Linked DNA regions of Mytilus edulis. Each later gene encodes a partner of the first gene's protein in a complex. Links are inferred from orthologs where the notes say so. Each region holds a gene or a part of one and is shown in the gene's direction. Other genes may lie near its edges. The genes, in order: protein SEC13 homolog, GATOR1 complex protein NPRL2-like and GATOR2 complex protein WDR59-like.

Region 1 (7,403 bases):
ATTAGATTAGCAATGCTACTGAAATTTAGCAAAATTATGTTTCTAATGCGTAAGTTTCACGACAAATTTGATATGCCAACAATGCGAGTCAGGCACGGCGAAAAGTACAACAATAAAGGAGTTCAATAAAGTAGTTCAGGCCATTGGCAACTATAAAGAAATCAAAAGCAGTAAACGTTTATTTTTATAAGCACTATGAATACATCATGTATAAACATTTCTATAGTTGTATTTTCAATCATATATAGTTATCTGTATAATTCATACTAGAATGCAAAGTATAGCACTAAAATTGATAATTCTATAAATTCAAACTTATGTCTCTTTGCTGGTACCGCGATCTTGTTCAGTGCTACGGGAATTCAATCTCTTAAAAAACAGATGAAGATGTTAACGATGCCTTTGTTGCAGTTCTCAAAATCTGAAAAAAAAACAAAAACACGTGAAAATGGCTTGTAAATATTGTTGGAGAATGCTTGATACTTAGACTGTTTTTTTTGGTTTTTTTTCAGTTTCTTTTTATCTTTAACCGATACACTTATATGCATCCATTAATTACTAAAATGTTTTTCTTTTTTTCTTTACCTCCCCCCCCCCTTTTTTCCCCCTACATGCACTTACATTACACAGAATCAATCATAAGTTTTTACAATAAAATTTAAATTTTACCTTAATCCTAAGTTTCTGTGCAGCTTTGTGGTCGCCATAAAAGATCGTTTCTTTCATCAATACGGTAGAAAAAGATTGCACTGACAGGCATCGGTCTATGAATTCCCAGCATGAATTCCGCAGGTCGGGAATATCAAACTCCGTAGCCAAACAAAGTAGCCCTAAAATGAGATCAGTAGCGATTAGCATTTCAAAACATTTTTAATGTTATTTCAGATTACTAGTTAGAACTGTTTAATTTTTGTCTTGATACAAAAAAAAAAGTGTGAAAAAAAGGAAAACACTTTACACTTTATTTGAGAAAAGCCTCCCCCTTTCTTCTATCAATCGATCGATGTTTATAGCGAGTTCACAACTTATGCTTACCAGTAACTGTTGATGGCTCTATTTCTACTGTTCCACAATGGACAAACAACAAAAATGTACGGAATATATCAGCATCATAATTATCTATAGTCATAGTCAATTTGTTGCTCTGGTCTGGTTGGATGTGCGTCGTTATCTTCGTTTTCTTTCTCTGTTTCAATGCTTCTTTTGAGTATTTCAAAAACATAACGAAAAATAACCTAGAAATGGAAATTAAGATTTAAAATTTATTCCCAGAAAACTATTATACTAAGAATACATGGTTTATTATAGCTGCAAAGTAGTTCGGTTTAGAATATATTCCATTGTTTAGAAGACTCACTTCAAGCGAAACTCGTTGTTTTTCTTTCAACTTTCTATAAAACAGATGGCATTTAAAATTACCTAAAATCAAAGACGCACTCAATTCATTATCATAATGACCTGTTATATTTCTTGGACAATTTAAAAAAAAAAACCAAAAAACCGATATGATATAATTCGTCCAAATTTGAGACTGTATTGAGAAAATGCATATAAACTATTTACATATGTACAAATGTATTGGAGATCAACATCTATTAATTTAGACAATTACCTGCTTCGTGTGCTTAAAATAGCCTTCAGTCCATAGACGGGAACTCTTTGTGGGCCTACGATAAACATAACATCGCATAAATCTGGCATCGATAAAATATATCGAATGTTATCGATCAATGTATGCACATTGGTTACTTTCATCGAATCGGCAATATCGTTATCATTATGTATGTCGTCATCCTCATATGAGTAATCATTAAACGGAATCGATTCAGCAGATGAAATGTCCGATTTATCAGATAATGGGACTATTTGTAATCTGTTGGAGCAGTTTCTTTTTGTATCTTGATCAGAGAAGTACTCTGGTGAATCATATCCAGATGAAAAGTCTAAAAATACAAAATGATTAAAAATTTTAAAGATATTCCAAGAGTGTTTCAAAACAGTTGTTTTTGGTTAACTACTGCTTGTTTTTAATATAAAAAAAAAGAAGATGTGGTACATGATTGCCAATGTGACAATTCTCCACAAGGGACCAAATGACACAGAAATTGAAAATATCAAGATATAATTTCCTGTATATGAATAACTTTTTAGACATGAAAATACAAAACGAGAAGAAAAAGACTTTCAGTAATGGTGATAGTTTTTCTATGAAGAATTTACTTTAATATATGTTTTTCAAGTTTTCTTATTAACACTAGCTTTACGATTAGAATGTTCAAAGACTCGACGAACGTTTAACAGATATTTTAAATTGTGAAAATACAAATTATAACACACTTACCTTCATTTTCACTATCTTGGGATAATAAATTGGCTTTTTCCTCTACCATAGTTTGACATTTAGTTGAACTAGTAAACAATGCCATCATGTATGTCTTGTAAGCTTTGGTTGTTTAAATGATTTGAAACCTAGGCTTGGGATATTTATACGCTCATTTCTGATTAAGAAATTTTAAAATCCCAAAGTTCCAAAGTTGTGACATTCCGAAAATTGGTCTGTCAGTTTCATAAATATTGTTGACGTGGACATGATCTTTTTCTTACAATTTAACTAAACGGTAGATTTCCGTTGACAAGTTGACGAGCTGTCTTTTGGCTTGGAGTGATCAGAATGTCATTTTATGATTATTCTATCGTTAATTACCCAACACCTCATTAGAGCAATTATAACTTTTTTTGTTTTTCACTAAACGCGTAAATGGATTCAGATTCAGATTCAATATTTTATTTGAGTCTCACCACTTGTAAGACATATAATACAATCATCATAATATATACATTGAATAAGACAAAAATTTTATAAATTAAAATACAAGTGCCATTCTATAAAGAATTATGAGAGACTATAGAAATCAATATAAATTATAATTATATATTTATCATGTCTATAAAAACATTTTTGTTATGTAAAACCATACAACTACAATTAGCATGTCTATAAAAAATTTCAAGTTTATAAAAACATAACCATGCATCAATCAAGCACCAAGCATATAAAAAACTATTTTTTCTACTTAAATTGTTCTGAGACTACTATAACATTATAGTAGTCTCAGAATTGTTAAAGCAGGTCTTGGCAACCACATCAAAACAATCAGTATTTTTAAAAAGATATATATCACCATCAGATTAAATATTAAAATCACCATTACTTCTTTTAACTTCATAAACTAAAATTTCATGTAAATCTGCATATAAAGCACATGTTTCTCATCTTCAATTTTATCATTGCACACAAAGAAAACTCTTTCATTTACAGTTTTATTTTCATAGCCACCTGTTACTATTCGCAATGGGGGCAACGCCACACCTACATTTAGAAATTGCACTTCTGTATCGTATTGAAATGTTCTTCCTCAAATACATCTCTGTTTCAAAAACATTTTTAAACAATTTATAAGTGCGTAATTTTTTTCCAACATTTTGTGACAATATTCTATTATGCCAATTTATCTTAATTTTCAAATAAAAAATCTTCTAACTATGTAATTAAATAACATTTTTATGCAACACATTATCTAAATTAGTGTATAAATCTACATTACATTCTCTAAATTTTGTCCTAATTCTATAAATGGAGTACATATTTAAATTCATAATTGATTTATGTAGAAATGGGCAGTATTCTTATACCTGGATAAAGATGAAGTAAAAGGTGGTTCATCGGTCTAAATACTATAAAAAAAAAAACATTTTCTCATATTTTATTTCAAAATTCTGTCTTATATTTTTTTTCATTCGCATCAAAGATTTATGTCATCATTGATGAAGAATGCATATAATCAAAGATTTGTATAGTTACTATAGATATACCAGAGACATATATATATGTCTCTGGATATACAAATCCTTGATATAATTATCCAATATTGCTCGACTTAATTGCAGAATGAAAAATAGCATGGTTCACCCAGGGACTTTCTCAATACCTGATGAACCATACTCTTATTTTATTTTTTAAGAGAAAAAAAATGGTAAAATATATTTTTTGGTTCCTAAACTAAAGTATGAGAAAATTGTATAGCTATGAAGAAATAAATACCGATGATGGCGTTATCTCCCTTAACAGTTTTTTGCTGACATTTTTTGTTTGCACAATAAGTTAAAAAGAAATAGATAAATGGGCAGAAAAAGAAATAGATAAATGGGCAGAAATAGAAAATAATGACCCGAGGACTTATTTATTTAAAAACATGCTATGAATTTTATCCGGAATACGCCACTGTTGAAAAAGGTTCACCCATCGGTTGAAGGGGGGATAACTTTGCAGTTTTACCGGAAGTAAATTTTGCCACGTTCGTGTTGACATGTAAACTTAAGCCTGGCACATTCTGAGGCATTTAAAATAGACAAAACACGCTAATACTTTACTTCAGGACAAACCCACAATGGTAGGTTACAGGTGAAAATATTGCTAACTATACTGCTTGTATACAAAGACTAACACAAAATATATCTGTTAGTGTTTAGTGTTATGAGACCGGGAACTTATAAGTCTTTATATATAATTTAAATATAGTATTTTTTAGTATCATCAATTGTGTTTTAGTTAATTCGTTTATGATATAACAACAGTGAGACACTTTTTCATTCTCAATTACAAGTCTACTCAATGACTACTGGACGTTAGTTTTCTCGTAGAATTGTTTTACATTGTCTTATCGGGGCCTTTTAGAATCCGGGTCCGTTCGCCCTGATTCATGTTCGTCCGAGAACCTGTTCGCCCTGATACCTGTTCGCTCAGGGTCCATTCGCCCTGATTATTATTTTTTTCTAATTGTTGTCTAGTCGCATTATTTTAAGTGTTTGAACAAATTATGTTAAAGTTTGTTGAAAAATTGACAGAATATTTATATTGCAGCAATCAATTTATCATTTTCCCTTTGATTTGCAGAGTAGAATACTGGAATACAATGTATTTATCTTTATTGATATTTGTTAACAAAATAATTGTAATCAGTCAATCACGAAAGTATGCAGTATAAATAAATGAACTAGTCTTGTAAATCCGTTTCATAATTTACAGTTCGTACATCATTAGTTTTATTAATTTCAAGCTGAATATTTTATCAAAATAAAACGTTTGTTTTTATTATTAATCCATCAGAAGACAAGGTTCACAATAATCAGTTATCCGTATTATTTTGTAATTGAACAATTAATGATCAAAAACAAGCCATAAACTTTTAAATATTTCAATGTTTCCATAAATTTCAAGAATATACATGATATATATACCATAGAAATATCTGAATAAGTTTATTCAATTTCCAATGCCCTGAATATTAATATTTTTATAGTAGGGCGAACAGACTCTGGGCGAACGAACGGACCTAGGGCGAACGGTCCCGATACCGGCCTTTTATAGCCGACTATGGGGTATGGGCTTTGCTCATTGTTGAAGGCCGTACGGTGACCTATAGTTGTTAATGTCTGTGTCATTTTGGTCTTTTGTGGATAGTTGTCTCATTGGCAATCATACCACATCTTCTTTTTTATATAACTTGTTTGCTAAGATAATCATAATTTGTTTTAACTATTTCAGGTTTCCGTCATCAATTCTATAGATACAGCTCATGAAGATATGATTGTAAGTAATAATACAAAATTTTAAGAACATGTCATTGGATCAGAAATGCTAGGTTTTTTTTAATGCATTTACATAAACATGATAAATGCAGAAAATGAATAAAGACACTTGTCAAACAAAGTTTACTAACTTATCATGTGAGCACTGCAATACACCTTAGCACTTATCCCGGCTGACCCAGCCGCTTTAACTTTTGACGCAATTGTACATGTAGTCAAAACAATTTAAAATTAACCATGTTAACTCGAGCAAAATACTGACAACCAAAATATATTTACTGGTACTAGCAGTGTATTTATTGTGATACAATGTACCTTAAAAAATAAACATATATAATTCAGCTAATATGTCAAACTAGAAATATTTCAGATTTGAGCACATCATCAAAGTTGCAAGGTCTTCTAGAAAGGGCTTAACACAAAACAAATGTAATCGCTGTTAAATTATGGTCTTCTATTAAATAATGAATGCATAGGGCCCTCGTCTAGCATCAAATTCTGGAACTCTTTAGTATACATGTAATATACTAGTAAATAACTTCTTTATCATTCAAATTATGTTAAATTATTGTAGAAAACAATTATTTATTTCAGCATGATGCTCAGCTTGACTACTATGGAACAAAACTAGCTACCTGCTCATCAGACAAAACCATTAAAATATTTGATGTTAAAGATGGCCAACAGACACTTATAAATGAATTACAAGGGTAAGAATACATACATATCACATGAATATACATTTTTAGTTCATACATGTAGGTGTTTTTTATTTGAGTGTGTATTAATAAGATAAAAATAAAGAGATGTGGTATGTTTGCCACTGCAATGAAACAATTATCCATTTGAAGCCAAATGAGGATACAGTTGCTCCTTTTCTTTGGGGTACCCTCCTTTTTGAATATAAATCTCCAAAATTAAGAAATTAACTCCTTTTTTAAATCTAAATTCTAGGAGCAAAAACAAAGGTGTTTACGTGTATGGATTGTCAATATTTTACACAGATTTTTTAATAAAATTACTCAATACGGATTCGTCATGAAAAAGTACAGATTTTCTAACAATCGGTGAAAAAATCATAGTTGCTTTCGTTTACGGCGATCAGTGTCTGAAAGGCACTTTTTTGACTGGGAATAACCGCTCTTTAAAGGGCAAAAATGATAGCGATCAAGTATATTTCATGGACGGCATGAATCAGGATGCCAGCGTTTGGAATTATGAAAATTCACCACAGTATCGCACATTGTGAAAAGTTTTTTCTTGTGTTAGAAAAAAACGAACTGAACAAAGATCCTGCGAACTCTGAACTATGAATTGAATATGATCTACAATAGTACCTTGTTAAACCCTTAATCTGTTGGCAACTTTGTATTGAAAGTAACTTGCTAATATTTATATTCATTCAATGGCAATTAAATTTCTTGTCATAAGTATTGAAATCTTGTCCCTATTGAAATTATTATTTTGAGGTTTTGTATTTTTAATGTGTTGTACAACAGTACAAGATTAAATAATTAATGAAATTTTTAATATTTGCATGTTTTGACTTATTCCAAACTTTAACTCAACTTTTTGTAAAATCATGCAAATTTTAGGTTATAATCTTTGTTGCAAAAATATCTGAATAAGACTGCAGATACTGTCAGAATGCAGGAAATTGCACCTAGTTTTTCAAAAGTTTCTTGGGGGGGGGGGGGGGCATGCCCCTAAACCCCCCTAGATGGTTCATGCCGCTTCACAGCACTCATGAAGGG
Region 2 (8,083 bases), about 20 Mb from region 1:
TCAAAGCCCATAAAACAACCAACAATGACAAAATGCTTTCCATGTCCTCAACCAAGTCATCACTAAGGCCATTCAACTTCAATAAACATTCTGTTTGTATTAGTCAAAGTCAAAGTGCAGTGCTAGTGAAATAGTCTCAACAGAGTAGAAATGAGTAAAAAAAAATGTTTTTGAAGATATTTGAACATTTATAAAATGATATTTATTTCAAGATGTAGGACACACATTGGACATTTTAGTGTGCTGATTTGGGTCTCCATGCTGTGGTATTTTGTTAGAAGATTATGGCATCCTACATCGTAGCCTTGGAATTTATTTTGGAAAATAGAAAAAAAAATCTTTTGTTGATGAAAGCACATGGCAAAAGGCAATTTAATGTAAACAATTTCTGTATTTCTTTTATCTTAGTTGACAATTATAGATATGAGGGTAGATAGGACCTTTATCGGGACTCCGGGGTTGAGTGTTTTCAAGCTCAGGATCTCGGGATTGACCCTTTCAACACCCAGGAATTCTTTTTTCGAAATTCGGTATGTTGGGATTTAAATTTATTTAAATTCAGGACCTCAGGATTTCGAGTTTTTAAGCCCAGGATTTCAGGATAAGTTTTCAGAATTATGATCCATGTGGTCACAGTTATCTCCAATTGATTAAAGGTAAGCTTCATCAAAACAACTTCATTCACTTGTTAAATTTTGAAAAATGACCAGAGCAACTGAATTAATTTTAAAGACTATCGAGGTAGTGACCATTTCCTAAATAATAAGAGTGACATTTTTCTCGTGCGGGGGAGTCAAGATTTCCAAATAATTTTTTGTTTGTTAATTGCATCTGGCATTTTTTTTTTTAAAAAGAACAAATTAGCTTATTCAAAATTTGAAACCCTTCAATTTGAAAAGTGTTTTGTATGAAATTTTGTAGTTTGGTTAGGCATTGCACAAAAAGGGTGGGCTTTATATAAAAAAGTTTCACCCTGCAACATGCTCATGTGCTTAGGTCAGATATTGGTGTGTATGTAAGTTATTTGTTAGTCTGTTCATTTTATTCACAAATCTTTTAGACTTTGGATGATTTACAAGTTCATGTATTGTATAAACATCAGTCTATAGTTGAAGACCTGTAGATGTCTTTGGTTATTTATTTTCATTGGGTAGCTGCCTTGTTGATTTATACCCTACATCCCCCTTTTTTTTATAATGATGCATAATATCTAACCAATAAAAAGAATACTCACCAAGTTTGATTATAGATGAGGTTCTTACCATAATATTTGGTAACCCCAGATATACTTAACAGCTGGCTTACTGTTCACATTGCTTACTCTTCAAGGTCATCAATCTCTCTTCTGCTCTCTGCTCAGTTGTTGGCTCCTCTAAAACATCATTTCTTTTTAATAAATATGAAAGAATGGAACTTAAAACTCTATATTATTTATCATTCTTTATAAATCTTGGTTGGTTGGCCAGGTCACTGGACACATTTTTAGGCCAGGTGAGCTAAAAAAGTGTACTTAACTTATATTACCTTATTTATAACTTATAATGATAAATTTCATTGATAAAATGTATGTCTGTATAAATGACTTGTATATCAATAGCAACAAAAAGTATATTTTCATACATTTAATTTTTTTTTAAAACTTATTCAAACTTTTGAGTGAAAATGATAAATTTTGTGCAAATTGATTATGTATAAGATGAAGAACAGCAATAAAAGCACTGTTCCTTTCTTTTGTTCGTTTATTTATGCTGTCTATGTACTGATTTTGTATTCTGGATGGATATTCCTGTGTGCATATTATTTGTTTACCTATTAAACTGTAGCACTAGGTCTATCAAAGATGAATACCGTTGTATACTTTAATGTCCAAATCATAATAGTAGTCAAATCTGAGAAAAGTTTATCAAGAAGAATTTTGGGAGAAATTCATCATCAAAAAACTAATCCAGAAGCTTTCGGTCTCAGACATTTATGAATTTTTTTTTTAGGTATATTTAGTTTAGATCATCACAGAAACAATCTAACAATCTAATTGTTAATATACATATAGTACAATATATTATCAGATAAACCTGCTAGTAATCCGGATGGTAAAAAAAAAAATGATTAAGTTTTGTAATAAACTATTTGATTATACCTGTATTCAAGGCTTGGTCTACTGTATCAAGAGAAAATCAACATGTTTGTGAAATGAAGTTGATATACTGTCTTGCTTTCCTAGATGCATCTGAATACCAATTTAGATTTTTTAGATAACTAAGTTTGTAGTGTCAAAGTACTGAAAAGAAACATTTAATATTAAAATTATTCCAGAAAATATGTTGCAAACCAAAAAGTATGTGTGTTTACTGTACCCATACCTTCCCTAAAGTTTTGTTGGGAAATTTTTTGATTTAGCAATGTTGCTCCCATAGACTCAATATTTTTGAGTCTATTGACCCTACAATACAAGGTTTTCAACATAGACGTTTTCAGTAAGTTTTGCCAACCAGTTCAAAAACTTTACCCAAATTTGATTGGTTAAACTGTTAATTGTTCCCAAGACAGATACATGAATGTGAGCTCTATTCTTTTTGTTATATTTGCCACTGGAAATTATGCAACCAACAATCAATCATGAATCTTAAATGGTTAAAGTAAAAGCTCTATGCTGTAACTCAAGTAAAGCTTGTATATATAGACATGCACAGACATTAAGAAGATGTTTAACATATCTAGAAGTAAATCAAACAAAACAGATCACATTAAAGAAATTTATGATAAATAAATGATACCTTAAATCTTCTATAACTTTGAACTCATCTGATGTCCCCAAAATTTTTAAGGAAAAACACAGGAGTTTGTCCAAGTAAAGATCAATTTAAACTAAAATAAAGCCCAATTCAAACCTGTTGATCACATGATAATTTATACACTCAAATCTACTCACTTCACACTTGAGTAACCAGCCGTGTAGCCAAATATTTTCACCTGACAAAAGTATTGCAAAAAAATATGTAACTGATTTGCTCAGATAACAATGAATTGCCCTCAAGGGAATTCTTTTTAACTTATTAAAATTTAAAGAACAGTAAAATCTGAAGCATGAGGCCGCCAAAGAACCTGCATTTAAATTTTTAAGTTTGAGCACGAAAACTGATTAAACTAAAAAGTGGACCAAGGACATGAAGAATCAAGTTCTTCTACCTTTTGAAATGGCTTAATCATATTTACACTTCAACCCCAGGCTGAATTTTCATGTTAACTGTAAAAAAAATATAAGTCCATTTATGACTTTACAAGCTTTGTTTGATATGGAAAGGTATATAGCCACGCTTTAGGCCCAATTTTATTTTCTCGGCTTTCAAGTTCTATACATATGAATCGTATTGCAGAGAAATAAAAAAAAAAAAGACACAGTTTTACGCTTCCCAAATTTGAAAATTTGAAAGAGATGATTGTTTATTCTCTCGTAAGTTTTTCACCACTTAACCTCATCTAAACGAACAACCCCAGTCATCGATTTTTTTTATACTTTGTGGTATTGTTGATAATTATAGTATCTGACTATCAATGAAATTTTATCTGAGGAAATGTAAATAGATGATTTCCAACCATGAATAGCGTCTCGAATCGACAACGTAGAAAACGTATAAAAATCGTCCAGTGGACAAAATTGCAAGACATTTAATTTCTTTGAAAACGAAGTCGTTTTGAATGCGCAAAGTATCAAAAAGTATGTAGCTGACTGTTTTGTAGAGTTAATAAAAAGTTCAATTACGGAAAAGCACTATTTAGGATGCAAGGATTCTAAAGTTTCAATAAATAACGTCGCAATTAAATGACACTTTATTTGTAAAAAGCGGCGAATTCCGACATTGGACATCTTGCAGAGGCGGATTTAGAGGGGGGGCCCAGGGGGCCCGGCCCCCCCCCTTTTTTGGGAAAAAAATTGGTTGCTTATAAAGGGAATCATTGAAGCGTGACTGGAGCGGGCCCCCTCTTAGGTCAGTCAGTGGGCCCCCACTTATGAAAATTTCTGGATCCGCCACTGATTCATTCGAATTTTCGCGGATATAACACTGTTTTGAAGAACACAAAACAAACCTGCTAAAGTTATTATTCGTACAGTCTGTTTACGTCTGACACGCATATTTTTGACGTTTTGTCAATATGTTGTCATCATTTTAGACTAAAATTATGATAAAACAATTTATAGTTTTTTTCCGGAATAGTCATGATTTATGCCTATCTAGTCTATAGCTATCAATTTTATATAACTTAACTGTTATGATTTTACAGCGTGAAAAGCTGTTTATTAGTGTGGACTGGTTGATTACACCGCGGTATTGACGCAATAACGTGCTTTACGTCTGACTGAGTCATTGCGCACCCAGCGATAAACGGAAACTACGAAGAAATTACTTAACAGATACCAAGTTTATATAGAACAATGGCCATTTAATTACGTTCATTCCAACAGAGATATCCTATGTAAGCGAAGATCGACTTTGAAAGAAAATATCGTTTTCGGGGCATAGCCTGCGGCAAATAGAAGCAGAATTGTCACAGTTTTATATGCAAATTTGGTTGTATTTTTGTTGTGGATCATTTTCATTTTCTCTTTAGATAAACATAAATTTAATATCATTTCAAATTTGCTATATGTTTTAACCAAAATTTTAAATAGTAAAAAAAGTATACAGCAGAGGCGGATTTAGGGGGGGGGGGGCAGGGGGCCCGCCCCCCCCCCCCTTTTTGGGAAAAAATTTGGTTGCTTATATAGGGAATCACTGAAGCGTGACTGGAGCGGGCCCCCTCTTAGGTCAGTCAGTGGGCCAATTTCTGGATCCGCCACTGTACAGTATACATGTTCACATCAAGAGAAAACAAATACAACATCGGACTTGATTTCTTGCTACATAATAGATGGAGGAGCACGCCCGAGTCACCTTAAGTTTATTAGAAGTTATGTTTAAAAAATGCCTAAATAGGATTCTACATGTACCAATACAGACAATACAGACAGGCCACTACAGACATATCTGGTTCCGTTCCCGGGTATTGATGGTCATATTTTGGTAAAACCTCAATAATCAGCTGATATTTTTCGATTACCTCCCTTCTTGCAGACAACTTTTTAGTTTATTTACATTTGTATTTACTTATATTCCCCTGCATTTACAGATTAAATTTGAAACAATGATAAAGGGAATGTGCCTTGCAGAATTCCATCCAACTGCTGGTCCTAAGATCAAATATCAAGTAAATGCACATACTGTAAATGTCTTTGCCCTGTGAAAATTGTGAGATACACATAAAATTTGTATCATGATGCTTTAAGGTTCATCATAACCTTTTGGCTAAAATGGCCGTATTTACACCCCAAATTTTACTCTGAGTACAGACTAACCTATACACCTGCAACAGTTTTAAGGGATGGCAGGAACTAGATATATAAATTTTAAATGCATTTTATGTTTCAGAAAATTATAAACTTATCTAGATTTTGCTATCCATTTTTTTTCGTTCCTGCAGAAGGTGCAAAAATTAACTAAGTAGTGAAAACGATTGAGAAGCTCCCCTCATATAATCAATGTTGTGAGTAGTATTGATTTAAATGGACAATAGATGGACAATAGACACCTGTAAACAATAGGTTATTTAACAGGTTTAAACTGTGTAACTGAGTGGACCGTATCAAATGAAACTCGGGTGTTTGTTTATTTTGCTATCTTCTGCAGACTGGAAAAAAATGAACATCAAAATCCAGGTAAGTTTTTAATTTTCTGAAACGTAGATTTCATATAACTTTTATATATCTAGTTCCTGCCATGCCTTAAAACTTTCCTGGATGTACCAGTTTGTCTGTACTCATAGTAATTTTGGAGGTGTAAACACGGCCATATTTTTCAATTCCTTATGATGAACCTTAATGTTCATCATAACCTTTTGGCTAAAATGGCCGTATTTACACCCCAAATTTTTCTCTGAGTACAGACAAACTGGTACATCCAGGAAAGTTTTAAGGCATGGCAGGAACTAGATATATAAAAATATGAAGTCTACGTTTCAGAAAATTAAAAACTTACCTGGATTTTGATGTTCATTTTTTTCCAGTCTGCAGAAGATAGCAAAATAAACAAACACCCAAGTTTCATTTGATACGGTCCACTCAGTTACACAGTTTAAACCTGTTAAATAACCTATTGTTTACAGGTGTCTATTGTCCATCTATTGTCCATTTAAATCAATACTACTCACAACATTGATTATATGAGGGGAGCTTCTCAATCGTTTTCACTACTTAGTTAATTTTTGCACCTTCTGCAGGAACGAAAAAAAATGGATAGCAAAACCTAGAAAAGTTTATAATTTTCTGAAACATAAAATGCATTTAAAATTTATATATCTAGTTCCTGCCATCCCTTAAAACTGTTGCAGGTGTATAGGTTAGTCTGTACTCAGAGTAAAATTTGGGGTGTAAATACGGCCATTTTAGCCAAAAGGTTATGATGAACCTTAATGGTCGCCTATCCAGGCTCTTGTTTCTATCCATGGGGAGGTCGCCTATCCAGGCACTTGTTTCTATCCATGGGAAGGTCGACTATCCATATATATGCACAGTCGACCTTCCCATGGATAGAACAGTAGAAACAAGTGCCTGTGATGTTTATTCAGAGAAAGGAGGGGGCGGGGGTTGGACCTTTATCGAGACTCTGAGACAGGGTGTTTTCACAAGTTTTTAAGCTGGCATTAATACTTTCGGGATCCAAGAATTCTTTTTTCTAATTTTGGGATGTCGGGATTAAAATTTCTTTAAATTTAGGACCTTAGCCATCTTGTATCTGTTTCTGTATCTGTATTTTACACAGTGCAGGATCCAATCGCGGATATACATGTATGCGCACTAGAAGGAGAGCGGGTTGGTTAGTCCAACCGTTGGAGGGCAGCCGTGAAACACTCAACTGTTTTTTGACATGCAGTTTTCTCGTCCAGATGGTTCCACTCTACTATTGTTTTTGGAAAAAAAGAGTTCTTTCGAATGTCTGTTTTGCAGTCTATTAACTTGTATGAACTGCTATTTCTAGTTTCTTGTCTTTCCACGATGTTTGAGTATTGAAAGTCACTAAAGTTTTTTGCCTTGACTTGGCGTTTATTTCTTGTCTTTTGCAGGTAATAAGTTGGATCAATCGCTCAACCACTTTGTAGAACATAGTCAGCCTCTGATGTTTCCTTCGTTCTTGAAGAGGTGGTAGTTTTGGCTTAGAAAGCATATTTGTGACGCACCTGGTGTCTGGATTTATAATCGTGCAGGATGAAACGTGCTCCTCTTTTCTGTATGCTTTCTATTTTTAGCTAACCTGGCCCAAAGGGCCAAGTGAGCTTTTCCCATCACTTGGTGTCCGTCGTCCATCGCTGTTAACTTTTACAAAAATCTTCTCCTCTGAAACTACTAGGCCAAACTTGGCCACAATCATCACTAGGGTATCTAGTTTAAAAAATGTGTGTGGTGACCTGGCCAACAAACCAAGATGGCCACCATGGCTAAAAATAGAACATGCGGGTAAAATGAAGTTTTTGGCTTATAACTCTGAAACCAAAGCAAGTAGATCAAATCTTACAAAGTTAAATTGTTTATCAAGTCAATATCTATCTGCCCTGAAATTTTCAGATGAATCAGACAACTGGTTGTTGGGTTGCTGCCCCTGAATTGGTAATTTTTAAAGAAATTTTTCTGTTTTTGGTTATTATCTTGAATACTATTATAGATAGAGATAAACTGTAAACAGCAATAATGTTCAGCAAAGTAAGATCTAAAAACCAAAATGGTCAGTTGACCCCTTTAGGAGTTATTGCCCTGTATAGTCAATTTTTAACAATTTTTCGTAAATTTTTGTTATCTTTTACAAAAATCTTCTCGTCTGAAACAATAATTTTTAACAACTTTCACTAATTTAAACATTCCAGCAGCACCTGCATATGGGGTATATATCTCCCAATTGATACGATATTCCTGTGCTTGCATTTCCTATCATGATTTTCTTGATAGAGGGTTACTGCTCACAAGGAAGCTATTAAACCAAGAGTTCCAAATGGTGAA
Region 3 (7,955 bases), on another chromosome or scaffold:
GTACCATCCGAAAATCTTTGAGAAAAAGGACGAGACTTTCTTTGACATATCCCTGGCCCGTCAACTTTTTATTAAGACACTGTCTGAGTAGCAGTTGCAAGCTCTAGAATACCGAAAAACGGGTTTTATTGCATACAAATCATTTAAAAGGCCTCATAATGACCCCTCAGAATTGTTACAATGGTTCTATAATGCCTCATATGTAGTTATGAGTTTGGATGTCCCTCTGGTATCTTTCGGCCCGATTTTGTAGACTTGATACCTAAATTATCAATTTCCTTGCCCTTAGTAGCAATATACCAGCTTCACTTGTGTATTGGATACACTTCATATGATGACACAATCTTTCAATCAGTTTAATTGAGGTTTGAAGCTGGCATGTCAGTAACTACTAGTAGTCTGTTGTTATTTCTGTATTATTGTCATTTTGTTTATTTTCTTTTGTTTCATATTCTGACATCGGATTCGGACTTCTCTTAAACTGTGCGTATTGTTGTGCGTTTGCTTTTTCTACATTGGCTAGATGTATAGGGGAGGGTTGAGATCTGAAAAAAAACGCCGCGATTTTTGCGCCTGTCCCAAGTCCGGAGACTCTGGCCTTTGTCACGTCTTGTATGATTTTTAATTTTAGTTTCTTGTGTACAATTCGGAGTTTAGTATGACGTGCATTATCACTGAACTAGTATACATAGTTGTTTAGGGGCCAGCTAAAGGACGCGTCCGGTTGCAAGAGTTTCTCGCTACATTGAAGACCCATTGGTGGCCTTCGGCTGTTGTCTGCTTAATGGTCGGGTTGTTGTCTCTTTGACACATTCCCTATTTCCATTCTCAATTTTATTTTCCCCTGACTCATTCGGTACTCTTGATTGATTGATTATTGGTTGGTTTACGCCGCATTAGCACGGTACTCATGAGCTCGCAGCTACGACTCAGACTTTGTTATACGTCACCATGTAGTGTCTGAGCAGAAAATTGTAAACCAGGGGTATGTCTCGTCCTTTTTTTTTTTTTTATAAAACCTGTTCATCGGAATACCAAAACCTTGTTGATAAATATTCCGTTGCAACTTCGCAAACATAAACGATGGTCAAGAAGTATAGATTCTAGGTACTGCTGCTAATATAAAAAAGAAGATGTGGTATGATTGTCAATGAGACAACTCTCCACAAGAGTCCAAATGCCACAGCAATTAACAACTCTATGTCACTGCTACCGGGATCCTAACCCTCCCCCTTACCTGGGACAGTGGTGTAACAGTACAACATGAGAACGCACTATAAAAATTAGTTGAAAAAGGCAGGACTCATTAGATGGATAAAAATACAAGTGGACGTGGCCGGGTACTTATACATCCCAACAACAACAAAAAAAACCCACTAAGTACATATCTGAGAGTACTCTCAGCTACTGACAGCTAGTTCAAAGCCACTAACATTTAATAAAAAATCATGCATATAAGACTTAATTATTAATCAGTACAAATCCAACATCCAATGGGTTTAGTGTAAAGACTTCTTAAACAGTTAGAGCAAAACACGACCTTGTGCAATGGAAAGCTACAGGTATCGACAGATTGTAGATCAATGAATTTGTAAATATATATATATATATATATAAAACAATAATATGTAGTTTGCTTTTAATTTACTGATAACAAAATCAATATTAATACCAATAAAAACAATATTCAATGATCTAATTACAGTGTTGAATTGGTAACTTTTTAGAATAAGTTTATTAAATGAATCGATAAGTTTACCAGGATTGTTTCTAAATTTCCAGACACGGTAAACAACATTTCCGTCAAAATGACGATCGATGTGCTACCTCGTTTGATTTAAGTTTTCTGTAGGAACAATCAAACTTAAAAACCAAATGTTTATATCTATGGAAGAATTTAGTAAAGGTTGTAAGTAATTTGTGGAAACGAAATCCCTGGCTTAATAATTTACCAGTACTGCAAAGATTACGTTCGTTAAAATCAAAAACGTCATAACAGACACGGGCATAGTGAACGAGTTGTGAAATCTAAACACCGCAAGATGTCGCCAAAGGAACATCACCATCCAAAAAGAAAAAATTAACAATAGGGAACGAAAAATCTTCCCTCTTGTCGTAAATTTTAGTGTTGAGTTTCCCGTTTAAAACCGAAATATCTAAAGCTTGTAAGAAACGTTATTAACGTTTAAATTTGATTTACTTTAAGCATGGAAGTATTTTATTGAAATCAGCGGGGTGCGAATGTGCTGATTTTTTGTCGGAGTTCCTGTCAATATAATACTTCCATGCTTTTATTAAGTTCCTGTGGGTAAATGTCGGCAGTATATTGAGAAAATACTTTTATTTAACGAATTGAACATTATTACTTTTTCTGTTTAGTCTTTTTTTTTTGTAATATTCATTTGACGTGGCTCGGTACTTATGCATCCTGTTAATGTGTTATGATAATATTTTGTATTCTTGTCATTAGTTTTACTAATGCGCTTTGTCTATGTGCCTTTTTTTGTTGACATTCATCTTTGTTTTTGTTTCGATAATAATATAGACTGATTATAACACAATGTACCCCCCTTTTTTAAAAACATTTTTACATTTTCTGTATGTTTGTTTTGTTTACATCGGTGCTTTCCTGTTGGACGATTGGCATTTCATATAAGCCAACAATTTTTTTATTTGTGCCACAAACTAAGTTTCGTTTGCGCTTAAATAAAACGTTTCATCATCAGTTTTCTATTAGTCCCCGAGGGTATCACCAGCCCAGTAGCCAGTAGCCAGTACTTCGATCGGTACTGGCATGAAAATACGGATTTATTGTGCTATTAAAATTTGCTGTTACAAAATGATAGAAATTATTATAAATTAAGGAATGTATCTCCCTCATGCAAAGCTCCGATTCCTTTCACGGATTTGGGCTATACTTTTTGGACCTTTTGGATTATAGCTCTTCATCCTCTATATAAGCTTTTGGATTTCAAATATTCTGGCCACGAGCATCACTGAAGAGACATGTATTGTCGAAATGCGCATCTGGTGCAAGAAAATTGGTACCGTTAATTTTATTTCGCCACAAACCATGTTTCGTTTGCGCCAATAATTGATTTTGCCATTTGAATAAGGACTTTACATTTTGAATTTGTTTTGGAGTTCGGTATTTTTGCTATTTTACTTTATACTCAATGTTGACTAAATTGTGCTTTTATGGAACGCTTAACTTCAAAAACTTTGCAAACCAATAATATAATTATACATACTCGAGAAGCTGTCCGTTTGGCTGTCAGTTGTGTATAAATACTCAGACCGTGACGTTCGGTTGTAATGGGGATGTTTACTCATAATTACGCTAAGAACCCATGTAACTATTTGAGGGTCGTAGATGGTCTGGTGCATAGCATAGTTTATGTCCATATCTGATATATCTTTGTTCTATAGCGATAGTCTTTATCCTGCCTTTCATAAAAGAGGGACGAAAGATACCAGAGGGACAGTCAAACTCATAAATGTAGAATAAACTGACAACGCCATGGCTAAAAATGAAAATGACAAACAGACAAACAATAGTACACGCGACACAACATAGAAAACTAAAGAATAAACAACACGAACCCCATACAGTTGGCGCACTATGTACAGCTACATATTGCATTCGTTGTTTTTTTCCTCTCGATCTGATTATGCATGAAAATTATCCACAAGACTATAAGTTCAAAATCATAAAACCTATCAATTATTTTTGAGAAAATATATCCATAAAATTGAAAATTAAAGCGAGAAATGTGTCAACCAGACAGCATTCAAACCAAAAAGCAGAAAGCAGCCCAAAGCTACCAATGGTTCTTTAACACAGTGGGAAAGCCCGCACCCAGAGGCGGGTTTCAGCTGACTCCTAAACAAAAATGTGTACTAGTTCAGCGGAAATACAATAAACTCTGAAACATAATCGAAACAAAAATTAATAAAACATGCACAACTAACGAAGCCAGAGGCTCCTCACTTGGGACAGGCACATACAGTTTAATAGCACAAAAAACAAAAAATATATCGGATAGGGACTGATATTTAACCGGCTTGCAATATGCCATATACAGATCCCGCAAAATGTTGTTGCAAAAGTTCTTAACGTATAGCCAACGTGACACTCTCTCTATACGTGGCATCGGATTTAACATCCCCATTATGACTGGACGTGCACGTGGGTGCGTACTTAAACATCCCACTCAGCCAAATGGACGTCCAAAAGAGAAGCAAAAAATACATGTACCAAAGTGATATTCGAAAAAACTGACAATGCCATGGCAAAAATATATTAAAAATACTTATAAAGTATACAAACTTGACCTAACATAGCAAACTGAAACCGGGGTTATCTCGATGTCAACTGGAAATGTAACCATGATACTGCTGCTCAAAAAAGCATGAGGTAACACATACCCCTCCAAATATCCGAGGCGCTATATATACGTTTGAACCCAAAAAAACATTGGCCATTCTTACAAAGCACTATTCCATACTTCAAAAGTCACATCAACTAAATCTTTCTGTGTCTATATGTCATATATGTACGTCGAATTTAACAAGTATGCTTAGTTTACTGACTTGACGTGAGCCAAAGAGCACTTGTTGATGGTGTTGCCTTTGAATCTTGTGACTGACTTGGCTTTATACATCTATAATTTGTTTTCCCTGTAAGTAAGAATAAACAAAATCTTAACGAAGAATGAGTTCTTATAGTGGTCAAAATATTGACTACACTAAATTGTTCAGTCTGACCAGCTTAGTCTTGACCAATTAATGTACACGTATAAGACCACAATTAAGTTTATCGAGTTGAAAAATTATAACAATTAGTAATCGTTGTTTTATTTAGTGTAGGCCGTATGTGAAACCATCAATGATCAAAAAGGATTTTTTTGTTCGTACAATAGCATGGACCGAAAGATAATGTGGCGAGTGAAGACTGTTTAAAATACCGATTCCCTTCGTGTCTATCGCCGTACTGATGGAGATCCGTGAAAATGTCACAATGGAGTGGCGAACAATCAGTTGCAGAATATGGGGATTTGCAGGTAAATTAAGTGAAAGATAAGTTCAAGGGACCTGTCATATGATCCACTAGGGTACGATGTATAATATTCGTCAAGAGAAAAGGTTAAAATTTAAACTGTCAGCCCTCAAAAGTCTTCCCTGAAAACAGTCAAAAGCAAGAAAAGGGAAATAATTTTAGGGTTGGCATAGAAATCAACAAAAAGGGTCACCCTTCGGCCTTCAACAATGAGTAAACCCTGCAATCTGCTATAAAACTGACAAACATAAAACAATTCCAATGAGAAAAAATGCCAATAATGGCCGGATAATATAAAAATACAGAACAATAAAAAATACGATATACACTAATACACCAAAAAATGACAACCACTGATTTACAGGCTCTTGATACAGGCCCATGCAAAATCAGTGGCATAGCTAGGCGGAAGCTCGGAAGCCAAGGCTTCAACATTGTTTGTCAAAAACAAAAAATCATAATAAAAAATTAAAAAAAAAAAACGAGGTAGAGGTACATTGTATGAGAGAGAGGGAGGAGATTCCGAGTGAGAGAAAGTGAAGGGAAAAATAAATGGGCACTGTGCGGTTAAATAAACAAAAAGTTGTAGAAGTCAACGAGTCGATATCACTTCTCAGACTCTCGGCATTCGTTCCCATTACCAGCGCTCTATTTCCCCTCTTTTTATAGCAGACGAATATTGTGTCTGCAGGGTGTTCTGCTATTTACAATGCAACGCAGAATTGACAATGCCTGTGACCAATTCCACCGCTGAATCAACGCAGTTTCAGTGTCATGTGCCGGGTTAAAACGTATCTGCATTAGGGAGCTACCATTTGAATTTTTATTGGGGGGGGGGGGCTAGGATGAAATTTGAAAAAAATAGGCAGGACAGGAGTTTTGAGTAAAAAAAAGGGCAGGATGAGACACTTGCAAAAAAATGACAATTTATGTAAAAAAAGTCAGGATAAACTAAAAAAGAAAAGCAGGACCGAATAGAGTGAAAAATAAAAAGGCAGGACAGAGATTACAACTAAAAAAATATGCAGGACAAAATTTTTCATCCTAGCCCCCCATAAAAATCAAATGACAGCTCCCTTATACGATGACAACCGAACAATTTTCGGGGCTATAGATGTATCCTTCACGCGTACAAGGAGACGTCCATTGATAAAGTAATTGACATTAGGCTTGCTTTTTTGTTGGTGAAAGAGATTGACTCTGACCAGGGACAGTCTATACTAGTTATTAGGCCAACTAAAATTAATTAGTAGATTTTCATCCAAATTTTTGAAAAAAATGGGGCGGGTGGGAGGATTTTTTTTTTAAATTTTTATTTCCAAATTTGAAACAGGAAGTTTGGAAGGAAACACAAATTTTGATGGTTACTGGAAACGGAGATGAACAAATCCAGAAATCGAAAAATTTTCAAAATAACAAAAATCGGGGCGGGACGATTTCAGAGGGGCGGGCGGGGATGAAAATCTACCAATTAATTTTAATTGGCCTTATAGAAAGTCCCTGCTTTGACTCTTTTAATAATTCATATCCACACAAACAATTCAAAGAAGAAAACTAATGGCCTGATTTATGTACAAAATAATGAAAGAAAAACAAATATGATACAGTAACAAACGACAACCATTACACTGAATTACATGCTCCTGACTTGGGACAGGCACATACCGAATGTGGCGGGGCTAAACTAATTTGAAGGCACCATCCTGCCCTAACCTGGGTACCCATTATATTAACCTGAATATATTGTTTACATCTCATCACCAAACAAATTTTAATGGTGTGGTTTTTGTCGAGCCTGCGACTTTTGTCACAAACGCGAGACATAGCGATCTTTACATTCCGTCGTCGGCGGCGGCGTCCAGAAATATTCACTGTGTGGTTAAAGTTTTTGAAATTTTAATAACTTTCTTAAAGTAAACAACCCTGGATTTCTACCAAACTTGGACAGAAGCTTGATTATGATCAAAAGCTAGTATCTAGAAGGAAATTTAAAAAAAATATATTTCCTGTTTTTCCGTATATTACTTATATATGGACTTAAGTTTTTCATCCAGTTACATACAGTCTGCAGTTAAAGTTCTTAAAACATTTATTAGATTCTTAAAGTAGGCGAGACACTGGTCTTAGCAAATATAACCTTTTTATCCCACTGGAATCTCCTGGTTTTTACAGTTTCTTTGAGGAACAATATATATTTTTTCACAAAATTATCTGACTTGTATCAAACAAAAATGCTTTTGACTACACCTTAACATTCAATATTTTCAGTTAATATTTGTGGGTGTAAAATCCTAAAAACCTGGAGCTTCTAGGGGCTTCGCCCCCTGCCCCCTACCAGGGCTTTGCCCTGGACCCACTGGTGGCCTTGAGCGGCCCCCAGACCCCCTGCCGATTTGGGCTTCACCTTCAACATTTGTCTAGCTACGCCACTAAAATGTAGCAGGTTAACTTTAGTTTCCCTTATGAAACTTGTACATAATGCTTATTACCAACACAACAACAAAAAAACACAGATCAATATAGTTAACCAGGGATCTCCATGACCTGTTTAATGATGGCGCCCCATCATCATTCAAATATCTTCTGCCATTGTCATAGACATGCGCCATCGTTCAAATTTATTTCACCTTGCACCATTTTTTTTTAGCAATTATAAGCAAATGCATGTAATTGCATAACCCTTAAGCTTTTTGTATTATAATCCAATACAGTTCTTGTGCCTGAGGGATATCTGGATTAATATCGACCGACTGTGCAACGGCTATATAGCCAGTCAAGGTCGTTAAAAACTTCCATTTGTGGTTGATTAAGATTGCTAATCACTTGTACATGTACATGTACCTGAGCTTGTACAGGTACAAATGTAGATCAACAAACCTTACAGAACACTTTCTGA

Evidence for each region.
Region 2: protein SEC13 homolog (region 1) and GATOR1 complex protein NPRL2-like share a complex: the UniProt entries of both Drosophila melanogaster proteins name them as parts of the GATOR complex. The link is inferred for Mytilus edulis from reciprocal best matches to the Drosophila melanogaster genes Sec13 and Nprl2.
Region 3: protein SEC13 homolog (region 1) and GATOR2 complex protein WDR59-like share a complex: the UniProt entries of both Drosophila melanogaster proteins name them as parts of the GATOR complex. The link is inferred for Mytilus edulis from reciprocal best matches to the Drosophila melanogaster genes Sec13 and Wdr59.

The regions. Positions count from the first base shown.
Region 1 is NC_092344.1:35,865,171-35,872,573, reverse strand, and holds the start of protein SEC13 homolog, read left to right. Parts: upstream 1-4,303; 5' UTR 4,304-4,448; coding exon 4,449-4,451; intron 4,452-5,605; coding exon 5,606-5,650; intron 5,651-6,243; coding exon 6,244-6,359; intron 6,360-7,403. Other genes in the region: serine-enriched protein-like, read right to left, coding at 371-421, 670-830, 1,036-1,235, 1,613-1,755. UniProt on the Drosophila melanogaster protein: Functions as a component of the nuclear pore complex (NPC) and the COPII coat. At the endoplasmic reticulum, SEC13 is involved in the biogenesis of COPII-coated vesicles.
Region 2 is NC_092344.1:56,141,018-56,149,100, reverse strand, and holds the start of GATOR1 complex protein NPRL2-like, read left to right. Parts: upstream 1-5,079; 5' UTR 5,080-5,181; coding exon 5,182-5,244; intron 5,245-8,083. UniProt on the Drosophila melanogaster protein: An essential component of the GATOR subcomplex GATOR1 which functions as an inhibitor of the amino acid-sensing branch of the TORC1 signaling pathway.
Region 3 is NC_092348.1:39,835,496-39,843,450, reverse strand, and holds the start of GATOR2 complex protein WDR59-like, read left to right. Parts: upstream 1-4,953; 5' UTR 4,954-5,012; coding exon 5,013-5,063; intron 5,064-7,955. UniProt on the Drosophila melanogaster protein: A component of the GATOR complex, which functions as a regulator of the amino acid-sensing branch of the mTORC1 signaling pathway.